Linked DNA regions of Neurospora crassa OR74A. The protein of the gene in region 1 interacts with the protein of each later gene in a biochemical or structural test. Links are inferred from orthologs where the notes say so. Each region holds a gene or a part of one and is shown on either strand. Other genes may lie near its edges.

Region 1 (6,731 bases):
TAGGCACCAAAGAGTCGGCCGAAGTGCTGACGCGCATGGAGTACGAGTGGTACAAGGACAGCGAGCAACCGCACACGGCCGCCCTCTTCGCCGCCCGCGCCATCCTGCCGTATCTGCTGCTGGCTAATGTCCGCGCGGCCAACACGTCATACCGCGCTTTTGTCTCGGCACTCACGGCCGAAAACTCGTCGCTCGGCGTGCAAAACGTGGAGAGTTCCCAGGGTAGTGATATCCGCATCTTCCCGAGCTTGCCGCTGCTGAATCTCTTGGGACTGTTGCTGCTGGCGGTGCAGAAGGGAACCCCGGATCTGTTCAGGCAGTTGAAGACGAAATATGCGAGCAATCTTGCCGAGCTGGGGGGAGCGTGGGACGGCGCGCTGGAGATGATTGCCGAGATGTACTTTGGTATTCAAAGGCCACGGCAGTCTAACCCATTGCTGGATATGATGGGTAGCTTGTTCGGCGGCGGCGGTGGCGGTGGTGGTGGTGCGGGTGCTGCTGGTGGCAGGCCGCCAGTGAGGAGGGTCGAGGCGGCGCCTACTGCTGAGGGACTGGACTGAGAAGAAAAGAAATGGTGAAGAGGGATGGGTTTCAGTAAAGAAAGGCACAGACGTATGCTTTTCTTCTCGCTTTGTGCTCTGCTCATAGTCTACTAGGATCCTGTTAAAGGTGAAAATGGTAATCATAGGGGGGTATACGCTGGTTATGCTAAGATAATACAACAATCCAGAGGGGGAAAGAAACCCAAGTAGTAACTGGAAAAAAGAACTCGGAGAAGGAACCAGACCCAACTACCAACCAGCCTCGTTACCATGAATGCAATCCAGTCGTGTCAACAAATGCGTGCCGCTCGTCACTCAATCATCCCTCCCCAATCAGTCAGTGCAAATGAAGTACCTCCTCCCTCTCAAACATCCAATTATCTTCCGATAACGCCGCGACCTTGGCTTTCAAGCTCGCCTTGACTGCCTCCAGGAGATCTACATTCAGTCGTCAGCCGTCTTCCTCACATGTAGCGCCCATGGCGGCGCAACTGAAGCTTGAAAAACATACCTTCGGTATCCATCCCACCTCCTCCTCCCCCACCAGCACCTTCTCCTCCCCCTCCCCCTCCTCCAGCCCCCTCTGGCCCAACATCCCCCCTCCCCTCTGCCTCGTGCTCCGTCAACCACTCCCTCACCGCGTCCGCCAACCTCTCCCTTTCCTTCTCCTGCTCTATTCGGGCCTCCATGATCGTTTCCATCTCCTCGTCGTAGGGCGGCGTGGGAGGGTCGTGGCCCAAGTCGATTTCTCCAGTTTCTTTGTCGCGAACGACTATTTCGAGGTTGGGGTCTGTGAGGGCGTCGGTCAAGGGTGGGGATTCTTGTGAAGAGGTCATTTTGGTGTCTTCTTCGTGGTGTTGTGGTACTGGTTGTTGGTATTGTTGACTGAGAAGATCTTGGGGGTAGGGGTAGGAGTAGTCGGAGTAGGAAGAAGGTGGTTGGGTGAGGTAAGAAGCTTGTTGGTGAGGTAAGTGTGACTGAAAGTTGCTCTGGTGGATCTGAGAGTGAGATGTCTGAGAGGTCTGAGACTGAAAGGATTGTTGGGATGGAAAGTGTCCTTGAGACTGAGTACTATCTGGAGCAGCAGTGGGTTGTCGGGATGCCTGAGCTGGTTGTGATTGTGGCTGCTGTTGGAACAGGTTGCGGCGGACTGATGCTCCGACTCTTGCTCCCGCTCCCGCTCCTGCTCCGGCGGAGGAAAGTCCGGTGTGTGAAGGAGGCGCGATTCGCGAGGGAGCAGCGGGTTTGAAGTTGGGCCCGGGACGACGGTCGGCCATTTCTGTGGATGTTGTCTCTTGGTCTTGAGGTTGTAGTAGATGCGTTGGTTGGTATGACTTTTGGGTTCGGCAGTTCAGTCAAGTTAAACGGTGGATGTTATTGAGGTAGACTTCATCTATTCGAGGGAGCGACACTTTACAGACTTTGTTGCCTGACCTTCCAAGGGAGAATCACAAGTGATGTAAGGTTATGCAATTACTTGGTGAAAGTTGTAAGTGGTATGAGAGAAGACGCGGGGCATACTCCGGTCGCCGCACCGCGAGAGACGTGAAGTGAAGGATGACAGGGTTAGGGTCTGACGCGAGCTCACGTGCTTCGATTGAAGCAACCGGGCGGCATCATCCAGTTCTCTAGTTGCCATTTGCAAGCTCGAGGATGTGTTTGAAGTTGTTCGAATGGGCTACTAATACCGATACAGTCACTCGGGTTCGTCGATAGAAAGACGTTGTCCGCAAACGGTGCTTTGACTAGGTGGTACTAATGCAAGAGGTACCTCGTCCTATCTGCAGGGGTTAAAGAGGTGCAGTTACAGGTAATTAACGGCGCGATGTAAAAGTGGGTGCTTGTCACGTAACAAAGACGTTCGTCGCGTAGTATAGTCGCGGTTCCCATTTCATCCCATTTACAATTCACATTCTCCGTCCCCTCACTCCAACCAGACGTATTCTCTTTGGCTGTATCATTGCTCTTCTTTTTGTTCTTCGCCAAAGACGACACTGAATTTTTCAAAAGACAACAACCCCATGTCCTGAAAGACGTCCATCTTTGTGGATCCTATCCTAGCCGACCTCTACCACAGGCACTCAACTTCCAAAGAGCCAGAATGGCGCCCTCAGCGTTGCCCCAGAAGCGCGCGTTTGGCGAGGCGTCAAGCGCCCGCAGCAACATTCACAATCTTCCCGCCGCTTCATCAGATTCAGCCAAGAAAAGACGCCTCGACGATGTCCTTCCCTCTTCCCGCTTCCGAACTTTCAAGAATGACGGCAAGGGCAGGATACCCTCTACCCAACCCAAGAGCGCCTTCGAGAGCGAGGTGCTTGAGCGTATGAGCCAGGATATTTCCGATCTGAAACAGAATAACTCGGAAAAGGATCAAGCTTGGGAACGCCCGCCACTACCAGCGACCTACAACCCAGCTACAGACAGTCTCTGCTTCCAGTCCATTGAGGCTGAAGAGGGATTCCTCCACGGCGGCCAAGCGACCATTAAGCTGTTTGGTGTTACCGAGAATGGAAACTCGGTCCTCCTCCATGTCAAAGACTTCAAACACTACCTCTACGTTCAAGCCCCTGTATCGTTTGGTCCCGATGATTGTCCCAAGTACAGAGCATTCCTCGAAACGCAGCTCGCCATGCCCACACCGGCCATCCATTCGGTCACCCTGACGATGCGCGAGAACATGTACGGCTTCCAAGGCAACACACAAAACCCTTATATCAAGGTCACCGTCAACGACCCCAAATTTCTTCCCAGAGTTCGAAGATTGATCGAAACGAACAAAGCCAACTGGAAGGGCATGTGGAAGAGCGATGGGTCTATCATGACCTTTGATGATATCCAGTATTTGCTTCGGTTCATGGTTGACTGCTCGGTATGTCGCCTCTTCACACTACCCCCAAGATTCCCTAAGCTAACAAACGCCAGATTGCTGGTATGTCTTGGGTGGAGGCTCCCGCAGGCAGCTATCAGCTTGTCAACGATAAACATTCCAACTGTCAGATCGAAGCCGAGATGAGCTACCGGGACCTAATAGCACACAAGCCCGTTGGCGAATGGTCCAAGATGGCACCTCTTCGAATTCTCTCCTTCGATATCGAGTGCGCTGGCCGCAAGGGCATCTTTCCCGAACCGCAACACGACTCCGTCATTCAGATCGCAAACATTGTCACAAAGTACGGAGAGAAGAAGCCATTTGTCCGTAATGTGTTCTGTCTTGACACCACTAGCCCCATCGTGGCTACTCAAATTCTTTCTTTTGACAGGGAAGAGGACATGCTCCGCGAGTGGCGCAACTTCCTGGAACAGGTCGATCCGGATATCATCATCGGTTACAACATCGCCAACTTCGATTTCCCCTACCTTCTCGACCGAGCTAAACATCTCAAAGTCAAGGATTTCGACTTTTGGTCTCGTACCAGGGTGAGATCTGTCGCAAAGGAGACAAATTTCTCTAGCAAGCAGATGGGCAACCGTGACACCAAGGCTACAAATACCAACGGACGGCTTCAGCTCGACATGCTTCAACTCGTACAACGCGACTACCAGTTGAGGAGTTACACCCTTAATTCTGTCTGCTCGCACTTCTTAGGGGAGCAAAAAGAAGACGTTCATCATTCCATGATCACAGAATTGTTCGAAGGCACACCAGAATCCAGGCGACGTCTTGCACTTTATTGCTTGAAGGACGCCTACTTGCCGCAAAGGCTGATGGACAAGCTGTCATGTTTAGAAAACTACACGGAAATGGCAAGAGTCACGGGTGTGCCGTTCAACTTCCTCTTGGCCAGAGGTCAGCAAGTCAAGTTCTTGAGTCAGCTTTTCCGCAAGGCTTTGGAGCAGAAGCTGGTCATTCCCAACCTACGTCCCGAGTCCTCGGAAGAGCAGTACGAAGGTGCTACTGTCATTGAGCCTACAAGAGGCTATTACGATGTGCCAATTGCGACTCTCGATTTTGCTTCACTGTATCCCAGTATCATGCAGGCGCACAACCTTTGCTACACAACACTCATCAAGAAGCGGGACATCGAGAGATGGGATTTGAAGAAGGACGAGGACTACATTGTTACTCCGAACGGAGACATGTTTGTGACGACTAAGCAGAGGAAGGGTCTTTTGGCACAGATTCTGGAGGAGTTGCTCTCTGCCAGAAAGCAAGCGAAGCGCGAGTTGGCCGTAGAGAAGGACCCATTCAAGAAGGCTGTGCTGAACGGTCGTCAGTTGGCTTTGAAGGTCAGCGCCAACTCCGTCTACGGTTTGACGGGAGCCACAAACGGCAAGCTTCCTTGCTTGGAGATCGCCAGTAGTGTCACCAGTTTCGGTCGTCAAATGATCGAAAGGACCAAAAAGGAGGTGGAGGAGCGGTATACCATTGCCAATGGCTACTCTCACGACGCTCAGGTCATCTACGGTGATACCGATTCCGTCATGGTCAAGTTTGGAACCAAGGATCTTGCTGAGGCCATGAAGCTCGGCCAAGATGCCTCCGAGTATGTCTCGGGCAAGTTCATCAAGCCCATCAAGTTGGAGTTCGAAAAGGTTTATTTCCCGTACCTCCTCATCAACAAGAAGCGTTATGCGGGTCTGTACTGGACCAAGCCTGAGAAGTACGATAAGATGGACACCAAGGGTATCGAGACGGTTCGTCGTGACAACTGCTTGCTAGTTCAGACAGTTATCGAGAAGGTTCTTAGGATGATCCTTATCGACCAAGACGTCCCTGGAGCCCAAGCGTAAGAGTTTGCCAAATTTATCCCTTTTGCCATTGCCAACATCGCGCTAACTTACTACCCCCAGATATGTCAAAGACACCATCGCCGACCTCCTGCAAAACAAGATCGACATGTCTAAGCTAGTCATCACCAAGGCCCTGACCAAAGAGAACTACGATGCCAAGCAAGCCCACGTCGAGCTCGCGCAGCGCATGAAGAAGCGCGATGCCGGTTCTGCCCCGGGGCTCGGCGACCGCGTCGCCTACGTCATGGTAAAAGGCGCCACGGGCTCCAAGAACTTTGAACGCTCCGAGGACCCCATCTACGTGCTCGAGCACAACGTGCCCATCGACACCAAGTACTATCTGGACAACCAGCTAGCCAAGCCTTTGGGCCGCATCTTCGAGCCTATCCTGGGCGAGACCAAAGCCAAGTCGCTGTTGCACGGCGACCACACCCGCGTCGTCTCAGTCGCCGCCCCGACCGTCGGGGGACTCATGAAGTTCGCCAAGAAGACGCAGACCTGCATGGGCTGCAAGAAGCCGCTGACGGGCAAAGAGGAGAGCCAGGGCGCTGTCTGTGCGGATGATGCTCCGAGAGTGGGTGAGCTGTACAAAAAGACGCTCGATAGGGTGTCGGATCTGGAGGTCAGATTCGGCAGGCTCTGGACCCAGTGTCAGAGGTGTCAGGGGTCGATGCACTGCGAGGTTATCTGCAGTAGCAAGGACTGTCCGATTTTCTACATGCGGATGAAGGCTAAGAAGGATCTGGAAGATGCGAATAAGGAGTTGCAGAGGTTTGATTTCGATGCGGCTGCTATGTGGTGAAAAGGATATGTGGTGAAAAGGGTAGGTATGGGTTTATAAGGTTTGGGATGGGATGATTGAGTATGCGGCCAACATGTATTACGAAGGATGGGATAAGTAACGGCTGTCTAAACGAAATGTAAAGGTATCGTACTGGTATATTGAGGCGTTTTGGTATGGAGATTGTTGTCGTGGAGTTTTGGCGATCGGAGGTATTTGCTATCTAGATTATAGGAGAAAATGACGTGTGAACCTGTTCGGAAAAATATCACACGTATTCATCATTGATCTGCGTCGGAACAGAAACGAGTTAGAGGGGAGTGGTATTGGAGTTATTATCGTGGATTGCCGATCACTCTTGTGCCGATATGAATCTCCGGGCCTGCCAGAGTATTTTGCTCAGTGTCTATGTACGCCCTCCTCTACTCGTCATGGTATCAACCAGATTCCCAATTTATAATTTCCTTTGAATTTTTCACAAGAGAAAACCAAAACCAATCCAAGCACCAGACGCTGTACCGGTAAAAAAGAGAAAAGCATAGTGAAATATCCAACTTTTGTCCAAGATAATAGTATCCATGGCTCCAAAATTATCATCAAGGTCCGTGGTCGTCACCCTTGTCTCTTTATCATGGCTCTCAATGGAGCAACTCCCCAGAATCTACCATGGCTTTGAA
Region 2 (6,702 bases), about 850 kb from region 1:
ACTTCTTTACTCGAAGAATCAGTTCGTTTACCTATTGCGAGACCCTATTCACGCCAAGGTGGATTTCGCTTCCATGCTTAAGGAAGCGCAGAAGTCCCCGAAGAAAATCGAAGGTCGTGACAAACGTAAGCGTAAAGCAGACAGCCAATACGGCTTATACGAAATCAACATCGCGAAGTATGGACACTTGATGCGACATTTAAGTATCGAACTCGAGCCGAACAGATCCGGCAACCAATACAGGGAGCTTATGGAGCAGGCCCTTTATGTCTTGACTAGCTCCGATAGAAGGGGCAGACACTTGCTTGCTGGCCAATTGGTGGATGGAAAAACCCCAAGAATTTTCCTCCACACTTTGACAATCACCGTGTCACCTGAAAACGATCAGGGTCGCCCTGGCAGCGGATCAGTTTCTAAGAACAGCAGCCAAGGGTCGAGAAGCCCGTATTCGAGCGCCATCGAGCTGTTCGATAGTAGATCACTCGTTATGCATGCGCTCTCCCGCATTGACACCCAATTTCTTCGAATCAACATGCATATCGATGAAGGCCCTTCTAATGAGGGGGATGACGAATTTGCGGTCAGTACCGAAAAGCGTCATCTCGAGACGACCATCGACATGCGATTCCTTCCGCGTCGTACCAAGCAGCTCGAGTTGTCCGAGAACGGTGATTCGTTTTAGGTAAATGATCACTTGATGAAGGAGCAGCGGGCCAAGAGGGGCGAAGAGGCCGAGACAGCACTGCAGACTCTCAAGAGTCGTATGTATGAGGGGTTCGAGAATCCGGATCAGGCTGTAGCCGACGGACTTTGGGAGGACAATAGCGCCGCCAATATGCGTCGCAAAAAGGAGAGGGCGGAGTTCGAGGCCCGTCTCGAGGGTGATGCTCGCCGCCAGAATGATGGCGAGGAAGAGTCCAGCTCCATTGACGACAGCGACGAAGATGAGAATGATGACGATGATTACGAGAGTCGGCCAAAGAAGAGGAAGCTGACGACTCGCGGCCGTGGACGGTATGGAGATTCGTTGCTCATTTCTGTAAAACGTGTTGCTGATGGATTGGTTGTTTCCAGGTCTTGAATCCCTCCCTTTTTAGTTCTTATTCTTCTTATCATCGTTCTTCCGACATTGATATTCTGAGTATGTTATCTCCTCAAAATGGCGTCGCACAAGAGCGAATGAGTTTCATTGGGTCAAGAAGCCCTGATGAAACTTCTTATCGGCGTCGGAATTGTAACATCATCATCGCTGATGGGAGTTGAGGCCCTGTTAGCCAACGTCTTCGACTGCGTCCTGGTCAGCATACGGCAATGGGAGAAAGGGCAAGTGAGGGATTTGCAGGCTGAGCAGTTGGGCAAGACTATTTTTGTGGAAGGAGGAATTTGGTAAATAAAGGGGGGAACTTGCTGGTTGGTTCATGGTTTTCTTATGCACAACCCGGGAGCTATTGAAGTGAAAACGGGCAGAATGCTTTTATTCTTTTAGGTGGAAGAGACATCTTTAACGACGGGCATCTCCTGTCGCATTGTATATTATGTATGCGATGACAAGCAGCCAAACGAGGGGAGTGATCAATTTTATGCTTGCGAACATTCTGGTGGTCGATTGAGTCCAATGGAAGGATTTAAGGAGTGGACAAATGGGCACGACAATACCAGTCACACAATAGCACCATTAGGAGCTGAAGCGTCTGAGCCCGATGTAGCAAGCAGTTTGCATGACCTTGATAGCTTTATTACAAGTGCGTTGATCTTTGACATTGACACTTGGAGAATTCTCATCCTGTTCCAGATCGTCTAACAGATCATGTATATCTCCTGGCACCTGACACCAAGCCATCACTCCCTCGCCTGTAGTACCTCAAACAAAAGACTCCCTAATTCCCTCCCTATGCCAGACACCTAACGCTGAAAGCGAAGAACATGACAAAAATGTAATAAATATAACTCGTCACCGCCTCTATGTTTCCCCTCTCACTCACCACCCACTACCCCAATCTATGGATATCATCTCACATTCACTCAGCGACAATCTTCACCCTTTCCACATCTAGCGTCTCCGTGTCCACGAGCACCACCTCTCTAGTCTCCGAGAACGAGGGCACGGCAATCAACCGCACTGCTTGCCCGTCCGGTCCGTGGATCACTTTCGTTCCAAACTCTGGCTGGCAGCCGACGAAGAAGAGGTGGGGACACTCTTTGATTACGAAGGGCTCGTCTTCTTGGAAGGGGTAGGACCCTGTTTGATCAGATAGGTTAGTTCGTTGCTAATTCCGAACGGGGAAGGGGGGATGGAAATGTGAATCGAAGTCCAAGGATAAAGGGGAGGAAAAGGAGTGCTGCAAAAGGGAAAAGCAAAACTCACAAAGCGTATCCGGTGCCGTTGGCGCCACACACCTCCACCTGCACATGGCCTCCATCATGCCCAGTCTATCCTCACTCTCCACATACTTGAAAACATCATCCAGATTCTGTCCGCCTGTGCCCAGCACCCGCCACCCCTCGATCTCGCCCTCCCATGGATTCGTCACGTTGTCGAACCACCCCGGCTCTTCTTCCCCTGGCACATCTCTGTCCTTGCCCGCCCCCGCTTTTGGGGGTGGCATGTACGTCCTCGACTGCGGGAACATGGCCGGGTGAATCGGCTGTTGCGGGTAACTCGCGTTGGCGGGGTCGAGCGCGCCCGGGAGCAGGGTGACGGGCATGGTGGGGAGGAGATCACTCAGAAAGCTGTCCAACAGTTGGGAGGGAACCGGGTTGTAGGAGCTGCTGTCGTAGCCGTATTTTTTGATTTGTGGTTGGAACTTGTTTGTTACGGTGGTGGTGTCGAAGGCAGCCGCGGGTTTGGCCTGTTCGGCCGCCGTCGTGGAGATGGAGTTCCCCGCTATGATGAGGCGGGTGATGTGTGAGAGCTCGTCGCGTTGGACGGAGGGATCGAGCGCTTCGCCGAGGAGATACTCGAGAAGCAGGTTGAGTTCCATGGCGTAGGAGGTGTCGGCGTTGGAGAACTCGAGGCCGGAGACGAGGGCAATCTTTTTAGAGGAGGGCTTGTGGGACTGCCTGGAGAAAGAGGCGTCCATCATTTCGACGTCTTCGGAGGAGTCTGCTTCCTTTTTGCCTTTTGAGAGCGACCAGCGCTCGGGCTGTGGTGGTAGTTCGGCGAAGAGGAGGTCGATGACTTCGAATTCGCCGTTGGCGTTCTCGGTGCCCATTACCGCGACGATGCAGCCGGTCACCATGAAGTGGTTTTGCAGAGCGTTGCCGACAAGACGGATGCGGCCGGAGTCGTCTTCGAGCATTACCGAGTCTTCGCCGTTGCCGGAGTAGTAGTGGCCGACCGAGGTGGGAGCGGAGATCCAGCGCTATAACATCATTGTCAGCTGCCTGGTGTCCACCAAAGGATAGGCTGAAACTCACATCCTTGGAGACATCCTCGAGGATTGAGGGCTTTAGAGGCATGTCCATATATACTGTTCCAGCTACCCAGCATAGTTCTCCCTGGCGAACGTCTAGGACACGCTCGACCCTCTTGACCTTCTCACCACCAAGCACTGTTCCCTCCCAAGCGGCGCTGGCGGCTGCCTCGACGGCGGGCCTGATCTTTGTAAGACGCAAAAAGTAAATATCGGCATATTGTTGTTGATAGGGACGGGTTTTTTCGAGTTTGAAGGTATGAAGGGGCTTGTAGTTGGTGATCTGGCGCTGGAGAGCCTCGGGCGCATCGCCTCTTCGTGAAGTTGGGTTGTTAGCTGATGATCGCCAGTGGAAGATGGATGATCCACTGCTACTCACGAGGGCTTCTGTAGCAAACCGCTACCGAGAACTTCGTCCAAGGTGACCATCGTATGATTGATACTGACAATGGCTCAAGATGTGAGAACGACAAAAGCAATTGGTGACTTATTCATGTGCTGCCCGACTCGGAAACTGACTTCAAGGGACGAAACTCGACGACGCGCTTGACAATTTCGAGACGCGTAGCTCCAGTGGGTTCAATTAAGCCAGGTACATGACCGGTACTACTCTATACTAGTATAGTTTACATAGTAGCGGCGCTTCAGCACTGTGACCCTCACAGGAACCGTCGGCCCCGCTATAAAGTTCCGATAAGATAGGGGAACGTGGGGTAGCTAGAACACTCCAGACCCCTGCGCTGCAAGGCTGGACAGAAAAAATTGGATGGAGTCTTGGATTTGGCATGGCCTTGTGGTGTCCGCTGCAAAGTAAACATCCACACTCTCCTCCCGACGACGCCTGTTTCACGGTAATCTAAGCCAATCTGACTTTTACTTGTCAATTGATAGTATTCAGCCTGCCCATACCGAACAGCGACTACCCAATTCACATAATATCACAGCACAGGCACCGCCATGGACCACCCTACCGAATCAGGCGCCCAGGTCCGGGTGACCTTCACCACCCAGGAGGAGGACATCCAGCTCGATGAGAGCAAGCGCCAGCTCCTTGTCCCCGCCGACATCCGCCGTTATGGCCTCTCCCGTATTCTCAACTCCGAGTCCATGCTCGACACCAACTCGATCCCCTTCGACTTCCTTGTTAACGGCAGCTTCCTCCGCGGCAGTCTTGAAGAGTACCTCAACGCCAACGGCCTCTCGCTCGAAACCAACATCACCCTTCAGTACGTTCGCAGTTTGATCCCACCAACATACGAGGCCAGCTTTGAGCACGACGACTGGGTCAGCGCCGTCGATGTTCTTTCCGCTACTTCTCCCGCGGGCCGCTGGTCCGGCGACAACTTTCAGCGCGGCCAAGATCGCATCCTCTCCGCCTCGTACGACGGTCTCCTCAGGATATGGGACGCCTCTGGAAATGTGATTGGCACCTCGCCCTCGGGCAGCCACGGTGGTCACACTGCCAGCATAAAAGCTGCCAAATTCCTCTCCAGCACTCAGATTGCCTCGGCCGGCATGGACCGCACAGTTCGCGTATGGAAGTACACCGAGTCGGGCGAGTCGTACGAGCGTCGCGGCGAGCTGAAGCCCACTCTCGAACTGTACGGCCACACCTCCTCGATCGACTCGCTCGAGGTTGACGGCGCCTCGAAGCGCATCCTCACTGCCTCCGCCGACGGTTCCATCGGTTTCTGGACCACCTCCAAGGCGTCCGCGCCCGAAGTCTCCGATTCCTCGCTCCTTCCCGGCGCCCACACATCCAAGCGCCGCAAGCTCGCGACCTCCGTCACCGCCGCCCAGCGCGGCCCGCTCGCCCTTATGAACATCCACAATGCGCCCGCCACGGCCGCCGTCTTCGACCCCCGCGACCGCACCGTTGCCTACTCTGTGTCGCAGGACCATACCGTCAAGACCATCGACCTGACCACCTCCAGCGTGGTCAGCACCTTCACAACCTCGCATGCGCTCCTCTCTCTCGCTGCCCTGCCGCGCTCCTCGGCCTCGGCGCCCCTTCTCGCCTGCGGCACCTCCGCCCGACACATTACCCTCGTCGACCCGCGCACCAGCACGGCCGCGACGAGCGTCATGACGCTGCGTGGGCATGCCAACAAGGTGGTCAGTCTGGCGGCGAACCCGGAGAACGAGTACTCACTGGTTTCGGGCTCGCACGACGGGACGTGCCGGATCTGGGATTTGCGGTCGGTCCGGCCAGCGACCAAGGACGAGGGCGGCATGGGCAGCGTCAGCGAGCCCGTGTACGTTATTGATCGCGAGAGCCAGCAGGGCAAGAAGAAGAAGAGCAGTGTGACGGGCGACGGGTGCAAGGTGTTCAGCGTGGTGTGGGATCAGCTGGGCATCTTCAGCGGTGGTGAGGATAAGAAGGTGCAGATTAATAAGGGGAGGGGTGTGAATGCCGAGTAGAGGAAGAAAAATGGTCGGGAAAGAGGGGGTTGTTGATGAAGAGAAGGGAAGCAGCAGAACTTGGTTGTTATGATATACCCAGGATAGATAAAATGGAATGTGAATACTGTACAGGATATTTTTGTGATATCTGCAGGGACGAGGCCAAGAACAGCCGTGACAGATTCTTTCTGAACTAAACTGTACGCGAAAACTGTACTGACCTGGAGCATAGACTAGATGGCTTCTGCAGAGCCCAGTCAGGTTGTTCTGAGGATTATACAAGGTTCATCTACCAACGTCTAAAAGTAGCCAAGTCGGTCTCGGGGTATAGGTGCATCGTCGACATCTTTCCTTTCTTGTTCAGCACTCGACCAGCAGCTTGAGAGCCGGCTCAGTGACTTCTCGACATCTTCCTCAACCTCTCCACCTCTTCCTCATCAACCGTCGCTTGACTGCTGCTATTGCCCAGCGTCAACTCCTCATCAAAGTCCAAATCCCCAGCCTCCAACGCAGCCTTCATCACATCCTCCACGCTCTCTTCCTTCGGCTTTACCTCCACCTCTGCCTGTGTCTCATCTACCTCCTCACCCTCAACCTCCTCTACCTCACCTTCCTGCTCCTGCTCCTGCCCAAAAATCTCATCCAACAACTCCAACTCACTCTTCCCCTTCACCCCCTCCCCATCCATCACCCCCGTCCCATTCACCCCACGCGCCTCAGCCTCCTCATACAACGCACACAGCATCTGCACGCCCTGCCACCTGAACTTCAACGTCTCCTCCGAAATCACCCCAGACCCAAAAATCTCCTCCTTCATCCGCTTCGGCTCAAACGACAGCCTACCCTTTTCCTTCTGAATAGCCACCAGAATGTATTGTGCGGCCGT

The links.
Region 2: the proteins of pold-1 (region 1) and NCU03763 form a complex in vitro, tested with the Saccharomyces cerevisiae proteins (2 studies listed by BioGRID). The link is inferred for Neurospora crassa OR74A from reciprocal best matches to the Saccharomyces cerevisiae genes POL3 and POL31.

Annotation. Positions count from the first base shown.
Region 1 is NC_026505.1:3,184,775-3,191,505, forward strand, and holds pold-1 (DNA polymerase delta catalytic subunit), read left to right. Parts: upstream 1-2,419; 5' UTR 2,420-2,643; coding exon 2,644-3,411; intron 3,412-3,464; coding exon 3,465-5,269; intron 5,270-5,333; coding exon 5,334-6,075; 3' UTR 6,076-6,324; downstream 6,325-6,731. Other genes in the region: NCU01190 (DUF410 domain-containing protein), read left to right, coding at 1-560; NCU01191 (hypothetical protein), read right to left, coding at 880-980, 1,054-1,819; NCU01193 (hypothetical protein), read right to left, coding at 6,693-6,731.
Region 2 is NC_026505.1:2,337,260-2,343,961, forward strand, and holds NCU03763 (DNA polymerase delta subunit 2), read right to left. Parts: upstream 3,983-6,702; 5' UTR 3,843-3,982; coding exon 3,793-3,842; intron 3,728-3,792; coding exon 3,418-3,727; intron 3,363-3,417; coding exon 2,366-3,362; intron 2,240-2,365; coding exon 2,019-2,239; 3' UTR 1,706-2,018; downstream 1-1,705. Other genes in the region: NCU03762 (hypothetical protein), read left to right, coding at 1-580, 683-1,081; NCU03764 (microtubule associated protein, variant), read left to right, coding at 4,371-5,834; NCU03765 (3'-5' exonuclease/helicase), read right to left, coding at 6,208-6,702. UniProt on the Saccharomyces cerevisiae protein: DNA polymerase delta (DNA polymerase III) participates in chromosomal DNA replication.